Linked DNA regions of Nothobranchius furzeri. The protein of the gene in region 2 purifies or fractionates together with the protein of the main gene of each other region. This does not show direct contact. Links are inferred from orthologs where the notes say so. Each region holds a gene or a part of one and is shown on either strand. Other genes may lie near its edges.

What was found.
Region 1: the proteins of ran (region 2) and nup153 purify together in Homo sapiens (affinity purification with mass spectrometry; 5 studies listed by BioGRID and IntAct, counting the BioPlex papers as one, with this or other methods). This does not show direct contact. The link is inferred for Nothobranchius furzeri from reciprocal best matches to the Homo sapiens genes RAN and NUP153.
Region 3: the proteins of ran (region 2) and kpna2 purify together in Homo sapiens (affinity purification with mass spectrometry; 3 studies listed by BioGRID and IntAct, with this or other methods). This does not show direct contact. The link is inferred for Nothobranchius furzeri from reciprocal best matches to the Homo sapiens genes RAN and KPNA2.
Region 4: the proteins of ran (region 2) and nuclear cap-binding protein subunit 1 purify together in Homo sapiens (co-immunoprecipitation; 3 studies listed by BioGRID and IntAct, with this or other methods). This does not show direct contact. The link is inferred for Nothobranchius furzeri from reciprocal best matches to the Homo sapiens genes RAN and NCBP1.
Region 5: the proteins of ran (region 2) and ipo9 purify together in Homo sapiens (affinity purification with mass spectrometry; 3 studies listed by BioGRID and IntAct, with this or other methods). This does not show direct contact. The link is inferred for Nothobranchius furzeri from reciprocal best matches to the Homo sapiens genes RAN and IPO9.

What each region holds. Positions count from the first base shown.
Region 1 is NC_091759.1:104,985-109,129, reverse strand, and holds the start of nup153 (nuclear pore complex protein Nup153), read left to right. Parts: upstream 1-1,344; 5' UTR 1,345-1,378; coding exon 1,379-1,456; intron 1,457-3,716; coding exon 3,717-3,948; intron 3,949-4,025; coding exon 4,026-4,145. Other genes in the region: ptdss1b (phosphatidylserine synthase 1), read left to right, coding at 18-115. UniProt on the Homo sapiens protein: Component of the nuclear pore complex (NPC), a complex required for the trafficking across the nuclear envelope. Functions as a scaffolding element in the nuclear phase of the NPC essential for normal nucleocytoplasmic transport of proteins and mRNAs.
Region 2 is NC_091741.1:91,737,586-91,741,755, forward strand, and holds the start of ran (GTP-binding nuclear protein Ran), read left to right. Parts: upstream 1-1,367; 5' UTR 1,368-2,234; intron 2,235-2,727; exon of another isoform or gene 2,728-2,946; intron 2,947-3,069; 5' UTR 3,070-3,082; coding exon 3,083-3,127; intron 3,128-3,265; coding exon 3,266-3,350; intron 3,351-4,170. Other genes in the region: ndufs8b (NADH:ubiquinone oxidoreductase core subunit S8b), read left to right, coding at 102-233. UniProt on the Homo sapiens protein: GTPase involved in nucleocytoplasmic transport, participating both to the import and the export from the nucleus of proteins and RNAs. Switches between a cytoplasmic GDP- and a nuclear GTP-bound state by nucleotide exchange and GTP hydrolysis.
Region 3 is NC_091752.1:67,643,893-67,648,015, forward strand, and holds the start of kpna2 (importin subunit alpha-1), read right to left. Parts: upstream 2,806-4,123; 5' UTR 2,722-2,805; intron 2,496-2,721; 5' UTR 2,452-2,495; coding exon 2,395-2,451; intron 2,310-2,394; coding exon 2,169-2,309; intron 1,999-2,168; coding exon 1,907-1,998; intron 1,822-1,906; coding exon 1,553-1,821; intron 1,482-1,552; coding exon 1,387-1,481; intron 1,233-1,386; coding exon 969-1,232; intron 855-968; coding exon 621-854; intron 535-620; coding exon 352-534; intron 267-351; coding exon 117-266; intron 45-116; coding exon 1-44. Other genes in the region: nucleosome-remodeling factor subunit BPTF, read right to left, coding at 4,114-4,123.
Region 4 is NC_091741.1:71,547,687-71,551,735, reverse strand, and holds the start of nuclear cap-binding protein subunit 1, read left to right. Parts: upstream 1-1,246; 5' UTR 1,247-1,384; coding exon 1,385-1,418; intron 1,419-3,042; coding exon 3,043-3,131; intron 3,132-3,203; coding exon 3,204-3,304; intron 3,305-3,387; coding exon 3,388-3,544; intron 3,545-3,624; coding exon 3,625-3,732; intron 3,733-4,049. Other genes in the region: thiosulfate sulfurtransferase/rhodanese-like domain-containing protein 2, read right to left, coding at 17-125, 225-511, 876-1,001. UniProt on the Homo sapiens protein: Component of the cap-binding complex (CBC), which binds cotranscriptionally to the 5'-cap of pre-mRNAs and is involved in various processes such as pre-mRNA splicing, translation regulation, nonsense-mediated mRNA decay, RNA-mediated gene silencing (RNAi) by microRNAs (miRNAs) and mRNA export.
Region 5 is NC_091743.1:60,962,315-60,966,512, reverse strand, and holds the start of ipo9 (importin-9), read left to right. Parts: upstream 1-1,393; 5' UTR 1,394-1,529; coding exon 1,530-1,689; intron 1,690-3,569; coding exon 3,570-3,631; intron 3,632-3,741; coding exon 3,742-3,828; intron 3,829-3,917; coding exon 3,918-4,119; intron 4,120-4,198. UniProt on the Homo sapiens protein: Nuclear transport receptor that mediates nuclear import of proteins, such as histones, proteasome and actin. Serves as receptor for nuclear localization signals (NLS) in cargo substrates.

The DNA.
Region 1 (4,145 bases), on a different chromosome or scaffold from region 2:
CTTTATTTGTTCCGTAGCTCAAACGGATTCACTGGGAAGTTTGCAGCCCACAAAATGGAGGAAGGTTCCTTCCAAGAGCAGATTTGTCATCAAGCATGGAGAAAAGAGACAATGAGCAACGCTAATAATAAATATTCATTCATTCTGAGAAGAAGAATGGATGTAACATGAAACAGCAGGGATATTATTATACTGAATGCATATTTAAAGTTGCATCAGTGATTTTAAAAATCCAGAATGCTAATAAAAACATTTGTCTGGTTGACTCCGGTTCAGGTTTGAGTGTAAAAGCTAAAATTCAAGGCAATGAAGCTTCATACTACGGAGGAGGATTGGGGCCACTGATAAAGTCATAAGTTTTACAGCTGATTTAAATTTTTTTTTCTTTCAGTGCCCTAATCTTCTTCCGCATTACACACACATGTACACTGGTGGTGTCTGGATTATTTTGTGTAAATATTCAACAAACGGCTCAGAATGTTGAAAGTAAAAACTGTTTTTTGTAGATCTGTTTCACCGTACTCCGTTCCACTTACAACCAGTAAGTGCATCTGCAGAAATGGAATGTAGCCCTTGTTGACCTACTCTTTTAGGTCTGCGATGAAATAGGGAGGGCATTGCCATCTTTAAAAAATAGTTGGCCATCCCTGCCTCGTGACCTGTGGAAGCCCTCTGCCCCACACACACACTCCCTTAAAACACATTTATGTTCACACAAATCATACATTAATCTTTTTTGATCAAGACATAAATAGATGTCAGTACGTTTATTTTGATCGATTGTTAATAAGTAACAATAAATACCGTATTCAATAAATCTGTATTTAAAAATATGCTTGTGCCACAGAACCTCCTCATTTTAATAAAAAGGCATAAATCCCAATAATTTTGTTATGACAGCAATGCGTAAATTAAACTTTTAAAACCGTCAAATAATATGAAACAAGGCCAGTAATAACTGGATTTATTCTGAAATGTTTGTGTTTGTCAATTTTGAAATTATTATTGCCACGGGGACCAATTTGGTGTGCCACCCCAAATTTTCACTGCCCCCCATCTGGCCGCCCCTGTGAAAATTGTTTAGGGGTAGCCAGCTATTATCAGATAAATGAAAACAACATCAATCATTTTTTTTATTTCAAGACTATCTTGAATTCTTTTTTTTTTAAATAAGCTAATAGTTTTCACCCCAGTCTCAATAAATAATAATCCAATAAATAAATGCTGCGCACAGAAAAACGGCTCCATAAAGAGCCCTTGACCTCTTTTGTTATGGTCACTCACTACATTACCCACAATTCATCTGCCGGCGGCCGCTGTGCTGGATGACAGCTATCCGGCGCCGAAACAACGGCAGACTCACTCAGACGACAGAGCCATGGCGGCCACGGGTGGAGGGAAAATTAGAAGCAGGAGATGTCAGATTGCTTCTAAACCTTACGCCAAGAGTAAACAGGTAAATCAAGTGAAAGTTTCCGTGTTAACAGCCTCAGTCGAGCACAGCACAGTGATTGAATTGCCACAATTCTTCAGTTTGTTTTGTTATTGTTTTGTTTGAGACATTTTATGGCCTTCAGTTAGCGCTCGTGGCCTCCACGCGCCGCTAGCATGCCCATGAAATGCTAACAAACTAGCAAGTTGGCTTAAGGTTAGCAAAATTAGACGGACTTGACAGTCAAATAACGACAGTGTATCGTCCAGAAAACTTAGTTAGTTTTTGTTTTAGCTCAGATCCCTACATGAAAAGCTGAGATAATAATTTTGTAAGTTGAAAGTGATTAGCCAAGTTAGCACGAAGCGAGGAAGTAGAATTTCAGCTGCTAATTGGAGCTAACCCACTAGCATCGGCGTACAACGCATTGTCTTTGGTGCTTTTCAACATCGCAGATTCAAGTGACACGATCATTTATTCCGTCGTTACATATTTATTTAAGTACGTGAACGTTTATAATGCAGCTGTACAATAATACCACTGAGGTATTATATAAATGACTAGTGTAAGTCAAATCTCAGCCTGCAGAATTGCGCAAGGAGCGTTGGGTTTATTGGGAACCCACATGGTCCCCCTGAGGGATAATCTACCGCCCTGATGTCAAAGTTGACGTTTTTAAAAGCACTCTAAAATGTAGACATTAGGCAAGACGTGGCTGGGCACTCGGCGGTTTCTCTGATCTGTTTTGTCATCTCTTAAAATTTCCACATAGTGTGTTTATAATAAAATGCTTAAGTCTCTAGAGTTGCAGAAATGATATCTAACTAAGGTCGGTGTATTAATAAATAATTACTTTGTCAGCAGTGTTTTTATGACAAACGTTGTCCGTTAATTATTTAAAATTTGCTAAGTTGACCATAAACAACTCTGCTACATCAAAACATGTGCATCCATTTCCACCTCACTTTAAAACTTGTATGTTCTTATTCTATACAGGCCTGGCACTCATGTTTTTGCAATAAATCAGCCTTTATTGAAATCAAACAAGTACATAAGATGTTAAACATGCAGGTTAGTGGCAGACACAAAGCTGATGGTTGTAGGTTATTGCGCAACCTTGCTGTTTACCACATTATTAGCGTTGTATTATGAGGTGTTACAATTAGAAGAAGTTGCATTATTTTAAACAAATAACGACAAGAACAAGTAAAGTCTAGTTTTGCAAATGCTAATAAACTAAAGATTTGCTGTGGCTTTTTGATTTACATGGTAAGTAAATTAAACATTCAGTTCTTGTGTTAGCAACATGCTTGCTTCTTGCTAATATTTGTGCCATGTCACGAAGATCAGAAAAGTTTTTCTGAAAGTACCCAACTGCACAAGTCATTAATGTTTAACTGTTTGGAAAATTTGGGGTAATACAAAAATGTCAAATACAAATTGCAGCAACCTGAGACGAGCTGCAGAAAATCTGACATCTCTCTGGGAGTTTAAAAGAAGTCCAGTTGCTTTTTGTACAACTTTAATTCACTTTTAATAGAAACATTAAGATTATTAATTTTGACTTGGAAGAAAAATAAATCTGGATTTAACCATGTTTGCAGTTTGCTGCAAGTCACCACAGTTGTTGATGTGCAGCAGACTAGTTGGAGCACATTCTGTTCAACATAGTCTTGTTTTCTTTAGATGAAAGGGAAAAATAAACAAAAGATGGGATAGTGATTTTATAAATGAAATGAAACAAACTCAGTATTTTGGGTTAATCAAAGTGGAATCGTTTAGATGATTCATGAATAGCAGGTTTTCAACCCATCCCTCTTATAGCTAGGCCCGCCATCATGGTACATATGTGACACTAACAGTGGGTAATCCCAGTATGATGTTTACTTATTAAAAAACACCCATAAGGAGGAAACAAATGCCTTCATTCATAATTGTGGCAATGGCAGCATTCAGTTCTGCCAACATGGGTTGGTAATGAGAAACCACACAACGCCCAACTAATAAATCCTGTTTCTGTAAAGCTGAAAAATGTTCTTTAGTTTATTTATTTTTGTAACAACAAAAGCAAGTTTTTATACGCCAAAGTAAAGTTGTTTTGTTTTTCTTTCATTAAAAAATTATTTTCATTTTTGCTGTGTGATTGGTTATGTCTGTTTCTTTTAGGGGACATATACATCTGTAAAACCTGGAAATGTAACAAAAACATGCTTATTATTTTGTTTTTCTACATTCCTTGTATATTCTTTGTCTAACGCCATATTTCTTGTGTCTTGATCTGCAGCAGTCAGGCCTGATTAGTCGAGTGACGGACACGGTGAAGAGCATCGTTCCTTCCTGGCTGCAGAAATACTTTAAGAACGGAGATGCTCCCGAAGGAGGAGAGGGAGGACAACGGACAGACCAGAGCTGCCTGCTGCCACCTCCTCCTCCTCCTCCTCCTCCGAATGGTAATGAAGAAGGACCTCCTTCTTTTGATGGACGGGATTCACCAGAGCCAAGCACCAGTAACACAGGTTAGAAGTTGCTCAGAAACAACATTTTGCTGTTTCTTCTGTCATTCATGATATTAACTTCCCTTTCATTTGCACAGAACCCTCAACAAGTCACGCATCCCTGAACTTTCAGGAGTACGTGCTCTCCCGACCTCCTCTTAGTCGCTCTCACCTCCACTTCAACCCGCTAGATGTGTCCTCCCCTACTTTTGGAGCCT
Region 2 (4,170 bases):
TCAAACAAAAAGCAACACTTCTTCCACAAAAAAGAATCGCTGCTTACCTTTTCCTATCCAGTATTTGCTGTTTGATATTTTTCTCTCAACCTTCTCCTCAGGGTCCAAACTTTGAGTTTTCTACAGAAACGCACGAGGAGCTTCTTTACAACAAGGAAAAGCTGCTCAACAACGGAGACCGATGGGAGCCTGAGATAGCAGCCAATATACAGGCAGACTATTTGTACAGATAAACCACTTCTTGTAAAAACAAACCATTTTGGCATCATGCTTATGTACATTATAGAAATAGCTACATGTTGTGGAGTTAAAATGCTCATTTTGAAGCAAGCCCAGTAATCATACATTAACTGGCCATAAACAAAAATAAACAAATCTAACAAAAGTTGTTCTAAAAGCTTTTTTATAGGCACACCTTCACTGTTGAGCTTTTTCTGTAAATCATAAAACTTAACTGAGTAACTTAAATTTTCATCTTGTATTTATGACTGGGGGGGGGGGGTGGCTCTGTTGGTTAATCCTTTATTAGAAAAATAACATCTTAAATCATTTAGATCCTGTTGTTGTCAGGAATCAGTCTTGCTGCTTCCCATCTAACTGAGGTTTATATCCTCAGTAATGCGTGTCTCTCTGAGCTAAACGGCTGTTTAGTCTGGTTACATTGGTTAGTCCTTATAATGTGTTTCTGGAAATCATTTCACTATTCCCTCGAGTTCTACTTAGTAAGCATTTTTGCAAAATTTTCTTTATCTTTCGTTATTTTAGATATATGGCAGTTTTTAACCTAATGATGGTCTCATGCGGTAATGATTTGACCTGTCTCCAACTGACTCGACTATTCCTTATCCACAGAATGTTTTCTACTCAGTGGATCAGCCAGGGTTAAATACTACAGCTCTTTTGCCATTGGCTAGAACAGGTTGGGAGCTTTCTTGTTGGTCAGGCACTGTTTGGCTTGTTTTGTTGTAGGATTGGGTTAGTTTGAACTGTTCATGTGTTGAATTCATTTGTTTTTACTCACTGATATTTACAGACACATTAAAACATTTTTTATTGTTTTTAAGTTGAACATTTCAATGTAATGCTTCTCCAGAACAACTGAGGGTAATTAAATAAACCATATTTTAAACCTAGGCTGGTGTTAGATTAGTTGGAGAATTGGGAGTGAAGCATACCTGCAGCTTCTGATTTCAACCTCAACAGAATTGTTTTGACCAGTTTGAAGTGTATTTTTATATAAAGGATATAAGTAATTACTATTTTATTTAGCTTTCTGAATGGACTGAAACATTCAACAGGATTGATGAGCTAACAGCTAGTTTAAGTGCAATCACAACTTGAAAAATGTCATAGCAGTTTAATAATGTAATTTAAAAAGAGTACAAATTAGTTTTAATTCTCTCTGCTTCTTTTGTGCCTCATCAACAGTCATAACATGTTTTTCAGGAAAATTCTTCAAGCTTGTTAGATCTGTTTTATTTAACTGCATGATCTAATATAAAACACAGGCCCAGAATCATTTGAACCTATTACTTGGTCCCATTTCTGTCAGCTCTGGTTTGCAGTTTCCACTAAGGTATGAACTACGGGTGAAATTATACAAATTGATTATGTATTTTTAAACCAGATGAGTTTTAAAGGCCACTCTTTAACCCTGCGTGTTAACTTTGCTACAGGAACAAACAATGGAAGAGCCGGGGTTAAAGCATGGACATAAACACAGAAATGTCTATAGAGTTAAGTAACACATATCATCGGGCATCTGCCTCCCTTCATTACTCCGTAATCTTTAGAGAGCCTGAAAGGGGTTCCTGAAGTAGAGAAGTACAGAAAGACACTGGTGTCTGGGAAAGGCTCCTCCTGTCAAAACCTCCTTTTAGTGCAAATGTCAAATTTATGATTTATAACCCCGAAGGTCCTTGGAAGTTTTCAGAAAAGGGCAGAAACCTTTGAACAACAAAAACTAGCTGGCTTCTTATCGGGCCCATATGTCTTGATCAACACTTTAAAAACATGATATATACGGTTTAATCTCTAGAAGTGTTGCTTTGAGAACAAAGCAGCGGAGTGCGCATCGTGAAGGTATATCAGACGGATGCTGATTCATGTTCTATATTTTATGCGTTTTTGGCGCTGCGGAGGCCACGTGACCAGGGCGGAAAGTGACTCATAGTCCACGCTGAATCTGCCGCGAACGCAGCCATTTACTCTTTCCTCTCTTCGCAGTGACACCGGTGAGTCGCTAGTTTCCTCTTCAATTGAGGGCCTTCCTAAATGTCAAGTTTGGATTGTTTTTAAGTCACTAAGAATGAAACAAAACTTTTTGGGTTATTTTCTTCTTTTGGGTTAAGGTCGTTTTGCATGTGCAGCCTTAACAGCAGTTGAGGGGGAAAGGCCGTCGCATTTTTTGTGCTACCAGCTAACGGGGAAGAATGGCTTCCATGCTGTGCTAGCTGTGAGGCTAGCGAGCACAGCAATGCTCCATTTCACGGCTTTGTTCTGGGATATTTGTTCCTATTACTCTTATTTGTGTATATTTGCCAGGGAGTTTTCACAATTTTTTCTTGTTCGCAATTAACGTTATTTACGGAAGGCGTCTTGTTTAGACCAGAAATTGACGGCAACATGGAACGCATTAGCTTCTGTGACTGTCTGATTGTTCCAGTCGAACCTGAAAAAGTGCGCTCAGGCATCATATGGCGCACTAAACTAACGCCTGTTAGCTTGAAGGCTAGTTGGTAACCGCCAGTGCTGAGGCTTTTGGGGGGCACGGTAGCTTTGTTTTACTTTATATTTTGGCACACCGGAGAGCAGTTAGAGGCTGTTTGTTGATGCGTTAGCAAGCTTTCATAAATTATAACGTCGCATTTGAACATGTCGGAACGTTAGCTTGGATAGAACATGCTAGAAGTTATCCCTTAGCTGTAAACTCGTCTGTACAGAATGGTGCGTGTTCAAAGCCCCGTGTGAACAATATTCCCAGAATGCCAAATTGAGTTATTGAGAATCTTTAACTTAAATCAACGTATAGATAACACTAACGGTAGATTCCCGCCTTGTTTGTTTCAGAATATTTGGAACCATGGCTGACTCTATGGGACAGTGTGTACCTGTGGCGGTGTTCAAGGTAAGAATCTACTTCTTAAGAATGATGTTAAGTATGATCTAATTATGGCGCGTGAGGGCAAAAATGTGTGCGTTTTAGCTGAGGTAACTGGTGTACCAGCACAAACCGGTCAGTAGATAACTGGTCTGTTCTTCACAGCTGGTGTTGGTCGGAGATGGAGGCACGGGAAAAACAACTTTTGTGAAGAGACACATTACAGGAGAGTTTGAGAAGAAGTATGTTGGTGAGTAACCTGAGAAAGTTAAATGTAAACTGTACAAGACTAACCCAGTGTTTGTTTTTACCAAATTAGGTTTGCCACTAATGTTTAGAACATCACATTTACAGAAAATATTGTAAAATCGCTGCATCACAAGTTTATGACACAGACGTGTAAAATGCACAGTTCTGGTCTTCCTGTGAAATTAGTGTTTGTTGAAATTACTTCATAAAACAAGTGGTTTTTATTATTCTTGTAGTTGAAAGATAAACACAACTATTTCATGTCCATGTTATTTAAAACCATTCTCTTATCAAGTCTATGAATAATAGGCCAAATAAGAATGACTGTCCTCAGTAATCCCAAAGAGTGCAAAAATGCAGAAATTCTAAGTACTAGTTACTCCATATAGCTAGCTATAAATGACTTCCAGCATCAGTCACATAACTGATTGTAGTAGATGGAAAATCAAGCAATACCAACCTTTTTATATATTAGTTTAACAAACTTGGTGTCATTCTGCAATGTCTGAAATTCTACAACTAACAGCTGCTTTGGGTTGGTGATGTTTTTAAATGGAAAACGGTAAAACAATGAGTCAAACATTATTTTTTGTGAAACTATACAGGGTTTAAACTTGTAGATAACATCTTTGTCCTAATTTATATTGAAAAGAATTGAATGGGAGAGAAGGGAGATCCTGGATGAATACTGTTCCCGGTATTATAAATATATTAACATGTCAAACATTCAACATAAAGATGATGAATAATGTGTACTTTATTGATCCCCTTGGGGAAAATCATTCTGTTTGATTCATTCATGAGAAGCATTAAGCTACCAT
Region 3 (4,123 bases), on a different chromosome or scaffold from region 2:
CCTTCCTCTGTAGCTTCAGGAGCCACACACAGCACCTCCTCCTCCTAAAACAAAAACACACGAGTCCATGAGACAAACAAACATTTAACTGGTCACACCTTCACTGCCACACTCACCTCTTCAGAGAAATACTTCTCAATCAGGTTGAGGGCAGCTTTGTAGATCATCTCGTTCTCGTGAGACTGCAGCGCCTCGATCTTGTCCAGTCCGCCGCATTCTTCGATCATCAGACTCAGCTTGTCGGCCTCTCCGATTTTATCCCCAGCCTGACGAATCCGACAGACAAGTTTCAGGACCGTGAAGCCACACACGAGAAATCAGCTGATCCAGTCCATTCACACATGTGCTCACCATGAAAATATTAGTTATTGCGTCCAAGATGACGAGGACCGTTTTGCTGTCCTTGGAGGAGAGCAGATTCAGAAGAGGCTCGAGAACATTGACCTGCACCAGATACACCACCTGCTGAACAGTGCCCCCACTGGTGAAGTTTGTAACTGCCCACACCGCTTCTTTTTGAGTTTTGTAGTCACCCTGGAGAAGCAAAAATAAAAATATATTTCTAAACTGTTAGAAGAAAAATAAAGTTTACTCAACAATCTTGTGACACGACGACATACCTGAACGAGCATTTCCACCATGTATGGAACGAGGCCTGCGTCGATGACCTCCTGGATCTGCGTGTCCTTCCCAGCTGTGATGTTGGACAGAGTCCAGGCTGCCTCCTTCTGGATGTTGGGCTTCTTGTGGCGCAGCAGGTGAGGGAACATGGTCAGCGCCTTGGCGTCCAGCACCGCTTGAGTCTGCTCGTCTGTGCCGGTGACGATGTTTCCGATGGCACGCAGCGCCGGAGTCTGGGGGAGGATGATCCATTAACAACCGGGTCCAAGTTGTGTCTCAGTGCAAGGACACGAGGTTTAAGACGGCTGAAGCCCACAGAAACCATACTTGCCAGAAAAGTTACTTACAACTATAGACAGCGCCTCAAAGCCGAGCAGATTCACCAGGCGAGGAATCAGCCCCGTCTGGACCACCACCTCGATACGGTCGTTGGAGCCGTCAGTCAGGTAGGACACGGCCCAGCATGCATCAGCAAGCACCTCCAGGTCATTGTGATGCAGGAGACGAATGAGAGCAGGTAGGAGCTGTTCGATTGCACTCATCGGAGGAGAAGGATTCTTGTTACGGCACAGGTTTGAAATAGTCCAAGTCACATTCCTCAGGTAGCCAGGCTACAGAGAACAGAAGAGCAGGTGTCAGACTAAAGGGGTGAATTATTTTATTGGGTTAGGACACCACCTAGTGGCGGGAGGGATTAACGATTACAGGAATGCGACCATTTCCCAAATGGAGTTCTTGGAAAATGTAAAATCCGAGAAGACTTACACTAAAGACAGTCCAGTCAGGAACTTCCAGCAGCCTGAGTAAAGGTGCCACAGCACCGTGCTTAATTACCATATCTCTGAGAGCAGATCCATCACCTATACAAATAAAAAAATTTAAGTTATTTAGGTTAAAAAAAAACTTGCCTAAAGAATAACTCTGCACTTACCTGCAATGTTTCCAAGAGCCCAGACTGCCTGCTCGCTGATGTGCTGGTGGGGGGATAGGACCAGGTTAATGAAGGCAGGAATGGCCCCACCCTCCACAACAGCAGCCGTCTGATCCGATGTGCCAGAGGCGATGTTCGTCAGAGCCCAGGACGCCTCAAACTGGATAGGAGGACAGTCCGTCAGGCCGAGGAAGGCCACGAACTTGGATATCAGACCAACGCTGATCATCTGATCAATGGGAGGGCGCTTGTCTCGTGACAGAAGTTTCCTGATGACAGAACATCACGGTTGAAGTTACTGCATCAATACTGGTTTACTTTGGAATTTGCAACGTTAAAAAAAAAGACTGTTACCGTGCAGCCTGGGTGGCTTGAAGCTGAGACTCCAGATTACCGCTGTTCACCCCAGTAACGATCTCCTCCACGGTCCATTGTCTTAAATTCTGCTAATGGGGCAAAAGTGGGTCATAATTTAGTGGAAAAAGTTAAGAAACAGGGCTCAAAATCAAAGTACGAGGCTCGGGGTTTGCAACTTTCACCAGATACTGGGACTATTCACCCCCCTACAGCTTAAGATGCAGACCACGTCCTTAACGAATGACACCTGAAGTCTCACCTGGCCGTTCTGAGTTCTTTCCTGGAGAGGAGAAGTGGCCTCTTCCGGTTCTGTGCACACGTTCCTCCTTTTGAAGATCTGGTCGTCTTTCTTGGCTTTTCGAAGCTCGACGTTCACCTCAGCCCTCCTGCGCCGAAGCTCCTGCGTCAGATTCAAACGAATTCAAGTTCAACACAAGTCTGCGCATTCTACCCCGATCACTGACGCTGGGTGCAGCGAGTCTTACGTTAACGTCTTTGCCTTTGTTCTTGAATTTGTTCAGACGTGCGACGTTCTCGGACATTTTCAAGCTAGTGGACTTGAGTAGATGCAAAGTTGGTTCAATTCCTGCGGAAACACGTTTATTTCACACGAAGGTTAATCGATTTGCTCCGAGCTGCCTCGTGACACCATGAGCCGTCAGAAACCGCCGAGCGCTTTACTTCCTGTTTGAAATTAGTTCATTGCTAGTTAATTAAAATAGTGAAATCACGGCTTGGACAGACGAAACAGAAGGGGAAGAAATCGTAAACACGTTTCAAACTTTCCGAATGAGCAGCAAGACCTCACTCACCTGGACTGGAACAGTTGTGATATGGAGAAAATACCGCACAGACCTTTAAATTCCTACTAGACTCGCCTCTGATTGGCCCGTTCGAGCCCAAACGTCGAGCCCTGAGCGTTCATTGGACTGTTCAAAAATTTCATAACACGCACCGGAAATGTCGTTACGTTACGAGAATATCGCGAGACTTATATAACAGCGCTTGTTGGGTTAGATTGTAGTGTTAAAAATAAATCTTTTCACTCTTGTAGGCTAGAAAATAAATGTCCAACACACCAAAGTTAGCGAAAGCCAAAAACTAAATCTAATTTAAAACGGAGCAGCAAACTTTTACTAAAGTCGAGTGAGGTTTTTTTTTAATATTTAAAGAGCAAGTAACCTCTAAATTAACTTTTTTTGCTGATAAACTGTATAAATGAGTGTCTAATAGTGTTTTAAATGTGTGTATTCATTTTTTATAATTTTTTTCTCAGAATTATGAGAAACCAAGTCAGGATTCTGAGATTAAAGTCAGAATCGGTTTCTGTTTGAGACAGCAGGGGAAAATAATGTATAAATAATTCAGATTACATTTAGGCACACACAATTAAGCAAATCTGACACATTTATAGTAATTATGTAAATATATATTGTAATTTTGAGATTTTTTAGTCAGGGATGGAGATTCCTATGGACGAGCTGAGAGTGATGCAGTGTAGTTCAGATATTTTTCATTTGTAACACAAAAAAATCAAGTCAAGAACTGATGAATTTTTTATTTCATTTTTATACAAAAAGGGCAGGAACCTTCAAATACATAATTTTCATACTTCTCAGTCACTACTGCAAATTCACTTACAATAGCCTTTTACCATATTTTCAGTAGGATATATAGAAGTTTAACCAAGATGACTACTGATGTCCAAATATTTAGTAAACTTTCTTTCATGCCACCTCAGACTAAAAAGATAAGTGGAAATGAGTGGCGGGGAAGATAGTCGTCTGAATTCAGACGAATCTCATGGTACATGATGCTCAGTAAAGCTCAGCCATTGTACATCAGTCTTGAAGTTTCTGTTATGAGCTGACATGAAGACCACAAGAAAGGCCTGAGGATTTTTTTTACAAAAAAAAAAAAGGGTTAAAAGAAAATTACACGGAATCGAGAGCTCAGCTCCAGAAGTAAACTTTATCTGAAGTGCCTCCGCTGTCCTCGCACCACCTCCTCCCAAGTGCAGAGCTTCTTATGAAGACAGGTCCCGAGACGCCCGCCTTGCAGCTGAAAACGTGCAGAGGGCAGCTCTGTCTGAAAAACGCCGTGAAAGCAGCAGTGCTGGTTGACTCGGTCGCCCGGCAGCGTGTTGTAGAGTCGGTCTGGAAAAGCCGTTTTCTTGGCGAGTGCATTTTCTACACAGCATTTTTCTAAGAGACC
Region 4 (4,049 bases), about 20 Mb from region 2:
GAAAGGGTTTTCTTACCTTGCCGGTTAGGTGAAGTGACTCACACAGAGCTTCCTGCCATGCACAGACAGCATGTGGATCGTCCACTTCACAGTAACAATAATAGAGCAGAACCTTCCCAGGACCACTTCATAAAAACAAGAAATAAACAATCTGCATATGTTGAAATCTGATCAAATCTATAAAGGGGATGGATATAGATATGTATATACTCCATTCTGTTTACTTTTTTAGTTCACCCTCAGGGATGTGGCTGATATCTGGTATCCACATTGAAATGTCCACTGCCTCCGTCTTTTTCCCTTTCAGCTGCTGTGTTTCTGTGTCTTTTTCCAGCTGGCTTAGCAAATGTTCATATGTGGCCTGCGTGAGCTGCTGTATACTAGAATTGTGAGTTTTGGCCACATGTTGGTGAATCTCAGCATGTTCGACGAAGGTCAGGCTACAGCAGCACCAAGATGTGCTTCCTTTTCCTGCACACTCCTTCTTCGATGCTACGAAGGCAGCAAATGACTGTGAAAAGGAAGAAGCACGAATGGCATTTAGTTTAAGTAAATGTGTGCAAAATTCTAAGTTTAATGTGGGATGAAGTTTGTCGCTGCAGGTTATTTTGTTTTTATTTTGATACCTAACATTTGTCAGACATGTAAACAGATAAAATAAATGCTGCATTTACAACTATTTAAATAAACCAGTATTTACATAATATAAGTTCAACTTTATTTATTGAGCGCTTTCACATGCCCAGGAGGACAAACAAAGCGCTGTACACCAATACAAAAACAGCATTCAAATCAGAAATACACAAAAAAGTATACATTATTATTATAACTTAGCTCATCATAAAGCCAACAAACGGTCATTGTTTTTTCCCCACCTTTCTTCTGCAGAAACTGTAGTATCTTCTTTGTGAGGCAGAAAGTTGTCTCTCCTGTTTTAATCCATTACTTGTCGAAAAATCAACATCCAAATTCATGAAGCAGCCGGTTTCAATCGCTTCCATCCTAACGAAGCTGTTAAACACTGCCAGTTAGTCGATTTTTTGTCTAAATTAAATACATTTTAAGACAGTGATCGTGCCTTGCTGTCCTAACATTTATTTGCTGCCATCTTACCAAACATAAACTCTCAAACACGGTGAGGAAAAAAAGGTCACAAACGTGTTTCCGACAATGTCGGACGAAATAGGAGGACGGACTTTTCATTTGACCTCGTGCTGCCCCGGAAGTTCTCCACTTGAATCATACCGCTGTTATTTTTCTGCGGTGGTTTCTGCGTTGCACAGGCTAAATTAACTAAGTATCAGCTAGTTCGTCCGACTTGCTGCTTCGTTTCATATCGGTTTTTTCTTTTGGTTGTCTTGTGTGGATTTTAAAGTGGCCTAATATGTCCCGGAGACGACACAGCGACGAGAATGACGGTAAATCGGCGGAGATTCAGTCACACTTTAGGCTAATAGGCTAACATTAGCGTGTTTTCCTTTCCTTCACCCATGTTGGTTATTTGTTTTGCTAATACACGTGGAGTTTTTGGATAGCTTCCATCAAAATTAAAAAGAGCAAACTCGTTATCAGCTGACATTTGTGCAAAACTAAACAGCGAAGCTGAATGAACAGCGTAAGACAACCGCCAATAACCTATGCTGTTACTGTTAGCTGATTGATGGCTAACTAAACTGATATGGAGGCGGTACCAATGAGTAAAAGATACACAACCTGATAATTGGATCATTTCTGGTAAGTTGTTAAAAGTGTAAAACTGAGTCGGAAATTAATCCTGACACGTCATGTGGTGAGCTAAACTGCTAACAAGCATCATTCTAGAGAAAATATTTGATTTCCAGTGTCTGTCCTATTGATTTTGTTAAAGCAGTGCGTATTCCATTTTTAAACGTTTCTCCCTTTTGCTTGTACAGAAATGTGTTCACAGTTGAACCCATGTATAATATGCAGATGCTGGTAATGGAAAACAAAACATGGAATGAGAAAAATCTTAAATAGTCATGTAACTGCCTAAAAGTATGTGTGAGCTTCAAGTGAATGTTTCAGAAACCTTCCATTGTTGTCAGTTTTATTTAAAGTCCCATTAGTCATCATCGCACACTGGTGAAATTACATCTCTGCATTTGACACATCCTTGTGGGCAGCAGCGAACTGCAGCGATGGCTGCACTTGGGAACTATTTGGTGGTTTAGTCCCCCAATGCAGTCCCTTAAAGCTGAGTGCAGGGAGATATTGGGTCCCATTTTTAAAGTCTTTGGTATGACCCAACCAGATTTGAACCCTGATTTCCTAGTCGCAGGGTGGAGACCCATACCACTAGGCCACTGAGAAGGTTTGTCAAGCAGATAATGTCTCATTGTCAGTATGTCCTCAACAGGTCAAAATAGCAAGGATTAAAAGCCTTGAACTTCACTCTGGAACAGAATAATTGCTAAAGTATTGACATTCTCCTTTTATAATGCTGCTAACAGATTAATTATCTAAAAAGGGGCTCATGTGTTGATGTGAGTTAGGAGAAGAAACTTTCTCATACTCCGTAAACTGTGTTAAAGGAATCAACTTTGATGTGTTGCTCATTCTTTTGCGCAAGTCTTTACGCCTTATCAAGACACTCACACACACACACTTGGCCTGTCATCTTCAATAGATAATACTGTTTTGAACATTAGGATTAGATGTTCTTGTCTACTGAACTAGAGTGAGTCTGAACTCGGACACTTGTCTGCCCCCTGATGCCATGCAAGGACACTGGGTTATGGTGTGGCGATGTCTGTGTCTGGTGACCTTAACAGAGGAATACCTTTATTGGGTTACAATGATGAAGTTGCTAAAAGGCACTGCTTCGATTAAAAAGTGTAAGCTTTTAAACATCAGCTTAATTTCTGTTAATCTAGGTGTTTCTTAGCACAACACAACCTTTATCAAATAAATATGCAAGTGTTTACATGTATTACTCATTTACGCAGATTCTGTTGGTGTTTTCTGTGGTGTCGGTCAGAGTTTATGAACATGTGTTGATTGTGTGACTCTTTTACCCACCAGGAGGTCAAGCTCACAAGAGGAGGAGAACTTCTGAACCTATTGAGATTGAAGATCGTCTGGAATCCCTGATATGTCGTGTTGGGGAGAAAGTAAGAGCAGACAGACAGAGAGATGCTCTGAAATCTCCATCACTTGACTCTGTTGTATTTTGTTATTAACAGAGTACATCATCCCTCGAGAGCAACTTGGAGGGCCTTGCGGGCGTCTTAGAGGCAGATCTTCCAAACTACAAAAACAAAATTCTGCGTATTTTATGTTCTGTGTATGTTTGTATAGGTTATTGCTTTCTGATTAATAAAGAGGCATTCAGAAGGCAGACTTTACTAAAGCACTGTGTGTCAACAGCGCCCGCCTGCTACCTGAGAAGCTTACCGTCTACACAACCTTGGTCGGCCTTCTCAACGCCAGGAACTACAACTTTGGAGGCGAGTTTGTGGAGGCCATGATCAGACAGCTGAAGGAGACCCTGAAAAACAACTTGTACAATGAAGCTGTTTACCTGGTAAAGCTGATTTTCACACAATAAATCTTCACAAAAGGGAGTTTAAAATTCATCATGATGGGTTAATTTTTGGTTTTCAGGTGCGTTTTCTGTCTGACTTGGTCAACTGTCACGTGATTGCTGCTCCTTCTATGGTGGCCATGTTTGAAAACTTTGTGAGTGTTACTCAGGAGGAGGATGTCCCACAGGTAATCAACAGTTTCTGATCAATATGCCTGCTTCTGAGTACTTAAAGATTGTTATAATTGCTTGTACATATTTTATATGAGAACAGTCCTTTGTCTAACGTTTTTATCTTATCTGTTTTTCTTTGGTGTAAAGCTAATTATGTGTCTGTTGCTAATGCCTCTTGCCAGACCCTTGTTGTAAATGAGAATGAGTTCTCAATTGACTCATCTGGTTAAATAAAGATTCAGTAAATAAATAAAGGTAAACGTGAACTTGGGTTATGTCATTCTGATTCAGTTATTTGGGAAACAGATTTGTTCAGAATTGTTAACAGATT
Region 5 (4,198 bases), on a different chromosome or scaffold from region 2:
TTAATCTCCAAATCATAAAACTGCTCACATGCCTTAAACTAAATCGGGTTTTAATCCAGACTTTAACAAAGAGGTGGGCAGTTTCAGCAGGATTTAACTGTTTCAAACACCCCAAAATCAGGCTTTATCACCAAAGTCACTTCCTTTAAATCAGCTTACACCATTGTCAACAACATCCACCTTTCATTGGTTTCTGTGTCAGGTTTTTGTAGGAAAAACCAAACGTTGGCCTGAGAATGTGGAACACATCACCCTGATAGACTAATGTCAGTTCATTTGTTTTCCTTTGAAATCTCAGCAAACAAGGTTTCTTCTGTCCGGTGTGCAGCAGTGATGATTTGATTTGTTTTTATGTCAACGCCCCTACATCTGTGTCCCCATTGTCACCCAAGCTGCACTGGTAAGTGAGTTTACACTTAGCTGAGTGAGCAAAATCTGTAACTGGAGATCTGCATGAATTTGTAAACCTGAACAACATGGGAAGGTTTTCAGTTAAATTACCAAACAGCAAGAGGAGGCCTGGTACTGATGCAGGATGATGCTGCAAAACATCAGCAGCTTGGAACTCACTTTGATAAATTACCTGATTTTGAACCCTAGATGCTTCTTGATTGGTCCAGATTAACTGGTTTCATAAATTAGACTAAATGGGTTGACCAAATCATGCCCAGCTGACCTGCAGTCTGATTAGTGGGTTAGTAGTGGGGATTTCTTGTTTGTTCAACTAAACTTCTATAGTTTATTTAGAATAGAATAGAGTAGACTTTATTGATCACACAGTGGGGAAATTCACTTGTTACAGCAGCACCAACACTTAGACAATAATTCAAAGAAAAATAATAAAAGTAGTATATGTATATACACATAGGCAGTAAGCTATTGTTGTAACATTCGACCACTAAAAACCTTGAATGAAAATTAAACTTGGGTTCAGAACTATGCAGCATACTGTAAGGGAGACAGGCATACTATGTAAGTCATGCACAAGTATTGAACACCTACTGCATTGATGTTATTGGAGCTACACCTTACAAGTTCATTGCCCGTCCTTATATGTATAGAAAGCTTTCCAAAGGTAAAACGAACCAAAATTAAATAGTCATTAACCTACAAATAAACCTTGCAAATTATATATATATATATATATATATATATATATATATTCTTTTTTTTCCCTCCTACTTTACCAACATTTATCTACAGATGATCGGCATTAGTGTGTTAGGCGGTTTCCTAGTGTTAAAATACTCGAGAAAAACGAGCAACATGGAAAATTCCTCGAAGGTCTACACCCACCGGGCCGCTAGAGGGAGCCAGAGTTCAACATCAACATAAATATACAAAAAAGAACCACGTGGGTCTAAAACCAGGCTGCTTACTGAACGTGCTTCCTCCGGCGAAACCCCGCCTCCCGCTTTCTCTTCCATTGGCGCGCACCTACAGCTCTGTGGCCGTGCTTCACCGCACCTCCCCGGCCGAAGAGAGCTCACCGTGGTGGAGCAGTGTGCGACAGAGTAAACGGAGCAGGCATGAACGCAGCGGGCGATGTTCGGGCCGGTTCGTCAGCCGGACCCGTCCAGCAGGGACTGAAAGAGGCTCTGATTGAGACGCTAACGGCCATCCTGTCTCCGGTTCAAGAAGTGCGCGCTGCCGCGGAGGAACAGGTCAAAGTGCTGGAAGTGACTGAGGGTAAGCGGTGGTCGGATCCTAAAGGCTCCCCCGGGGTTAAGCGTGATCATCATCCGAGTATTGACTTCTAAAACGGCCGAGAGGTGCTTTGTGTCAGGGCTTGGACTGCTGTTAAGCCAGCTAGTAGCCGGAGCGTTAGCAGAACTCCGTGGCTAATGTTAGGCCATATTCTCAGAAGTTGTTGGTGACTGAAACTGTTTTGATAGTGAAAAGAAAACACTGTCCTGTAATGGGCTCGAAAGCCCGGCTCCGTTGTCAGGAAAGCCGACTGGACCCTGCTCCGCGAAGCTAGTGGCGTTAGGCGTAAATATTAGCGGAAACCTAGCATGTAAGTTATTTGCAGCACATGGATGGGTAATATTTGGACCCCGGCCTCTGCAGCAAGGTAAACTACACTTCAGTTATCTCAGAAACGCAAATATTCTTGTTTTTGACGCGTGTGTGTAGTAAAGACCTACATTTTGAGTGTTTTACAGTTGCAAATTGGCATAATTCATTGTTTTCTTTTTTCGTCCTGTATGAATCGGAAACCATCATTGTTACTTAAAAACGTTCAAAGGTCGAGCGAGCTGATGTTTTAGCTCATATTTGAGTTCAGCGTTACCTCACGTCCCATGTCAAACGACATGTAGCTTTTAATACGAACATTATTTCCAAATAGACTGTCAGTTTGTCCCCGTAGTCTCTGGTAACCACTGACACATTTTCCCGCGAAGTTATCTCCAGGGGGGGGGGGGGGGGGGGGCTGCGCCTACCGAAGCCCGCCGAAGAAAGTCCCAGTGTCCAGCTGCATTAGGAGGTGTTTCACGTCGGGACATGCGTCATCATTTGCTTACCAAACTAAACCATAACAGTTTCTTCTTGGTCCAACAATCATTGTTTGATGTGTTGAGATCCCAAAATGATATTTAGATGGGTACAAAGCAACTCAGTGCCAGGAGGACCAGGCTCTGTTATTCCAACCCTATTTCATAACATCTCAACTTTGTACAAATGCATGCACGTGCTTTGGTTCCACATTTTGCATTAAGTGAAACTATAACAAAAAGTGTTTAGTGTTTATTATTAGTGGCCAGGGTTTGCCTTCAGGTGGGGAGCACAGGAGGTCCAAGCTAGCTGTCAGGGTGGCACTTGCCCACCCTGGACTTTCCCCAGCACCACCTCTGCTAAATGCAGTTTATAATTGTTAGTTTTCTGTCTGTCTCCATCTCCAGCTGATCATTTTTGAGCTACGAAAATGTTATGTGACAAATAAAAGATGATTTCCTTTTTGCTGTCGAGCTGAAATGCGTGTATACTGAGTGCAGCTCGACTAAACTGCTTTATTGTTCTGGAGTTCTCATGCTGCAGCTGAAATGTTAATCATGCACAGTCGGTGCACACACAGTGTTGCATTAAGTCCGACCCTTTACACTGGCCCCTCTCTCGGGCAGGTGCTCTGTGGGATTGTCAGCACTAACATTGTCTTCTGGCGCCTGATGTCACTTTTGTAAAACCCAGCTAGAAGCAGGGCTGAACGGCGGATGAAATCATTGTCCGCTCGCAGCGTTTTTTAAGTCTCTGAATTGTGTTTTATATTTACCACTTTTGGCTCCATCTTCATCTAAAAAGCCATTTTAAACTCACGAGTTGTTGCTTGTTTGCATCTTCTGCTCTTGTTGTGTTTTTTTCTGAGATGTTGTAGCTTCTGGTTTAGGCTCTGGACAATTAAATGCATGGTTTCTGTTTATCAAAGTCAAAATTAATCCTGACTTCAACATGTTACTGATCTGAGACATTCAGAGAGGGGGGTTCGATCAGTCGCCTCAATAGCAGTCAGTCATTAAAGTTTGTGTGAAATGTTTATTTAAATCTTCCCTGTCGTTGTGCTGGTTTTCCAGAATTTGGTGTCCACCTAGCAGAACTCACAGTTGACCCTTGGGGGGCACTTGCCATCCGTCAGGTGAGCAGACAGATGCGTGTTTCTCGCAATCTGAACCCTTTTCATGATCGTGTTTGTTTCTGTTGCTGTGACGTGCAGTTAGACTGATATGGGGTTATTTGTGTTTGCAGCTGGCCTCTGTCATTCTGAAGCAGTATGTGGAGACTCACTGGTGCTCCCAGTCAGAGAAGTTCAGGCCTCCTGAAACCACGGATCAGGTAAAACGCTCCCCTGGATACAGCTGCTTCAGAAACCACTGGGGCATTTTGAAGCCAGACATTGTCAGTCAGGTGTTGTGTTTCTCCAGGCTAAAGCTGACATCAGGGAGCTGCTCCCGAGCGGTTTGCGAGAGTCCATCAGCAAAGTTCGCTCCAGTGTCGCCTATGCCGTGTCAGCCATCGCCCACTGGGATTGGCCCGAGGCGTGGCCGCAGCTCTTCACCCTCCTGATGGAGATGCTGGTCAGTGGAGATGTCAATGCTGTGCATGGGGCTATGAGGGTCCTCACAGGTATGGGAAACATCCATGTAGTCACACTGGTGCCTTCGATCAGTCAAACATTCTGGTGACCCAATGTTGTGTTGTGTTC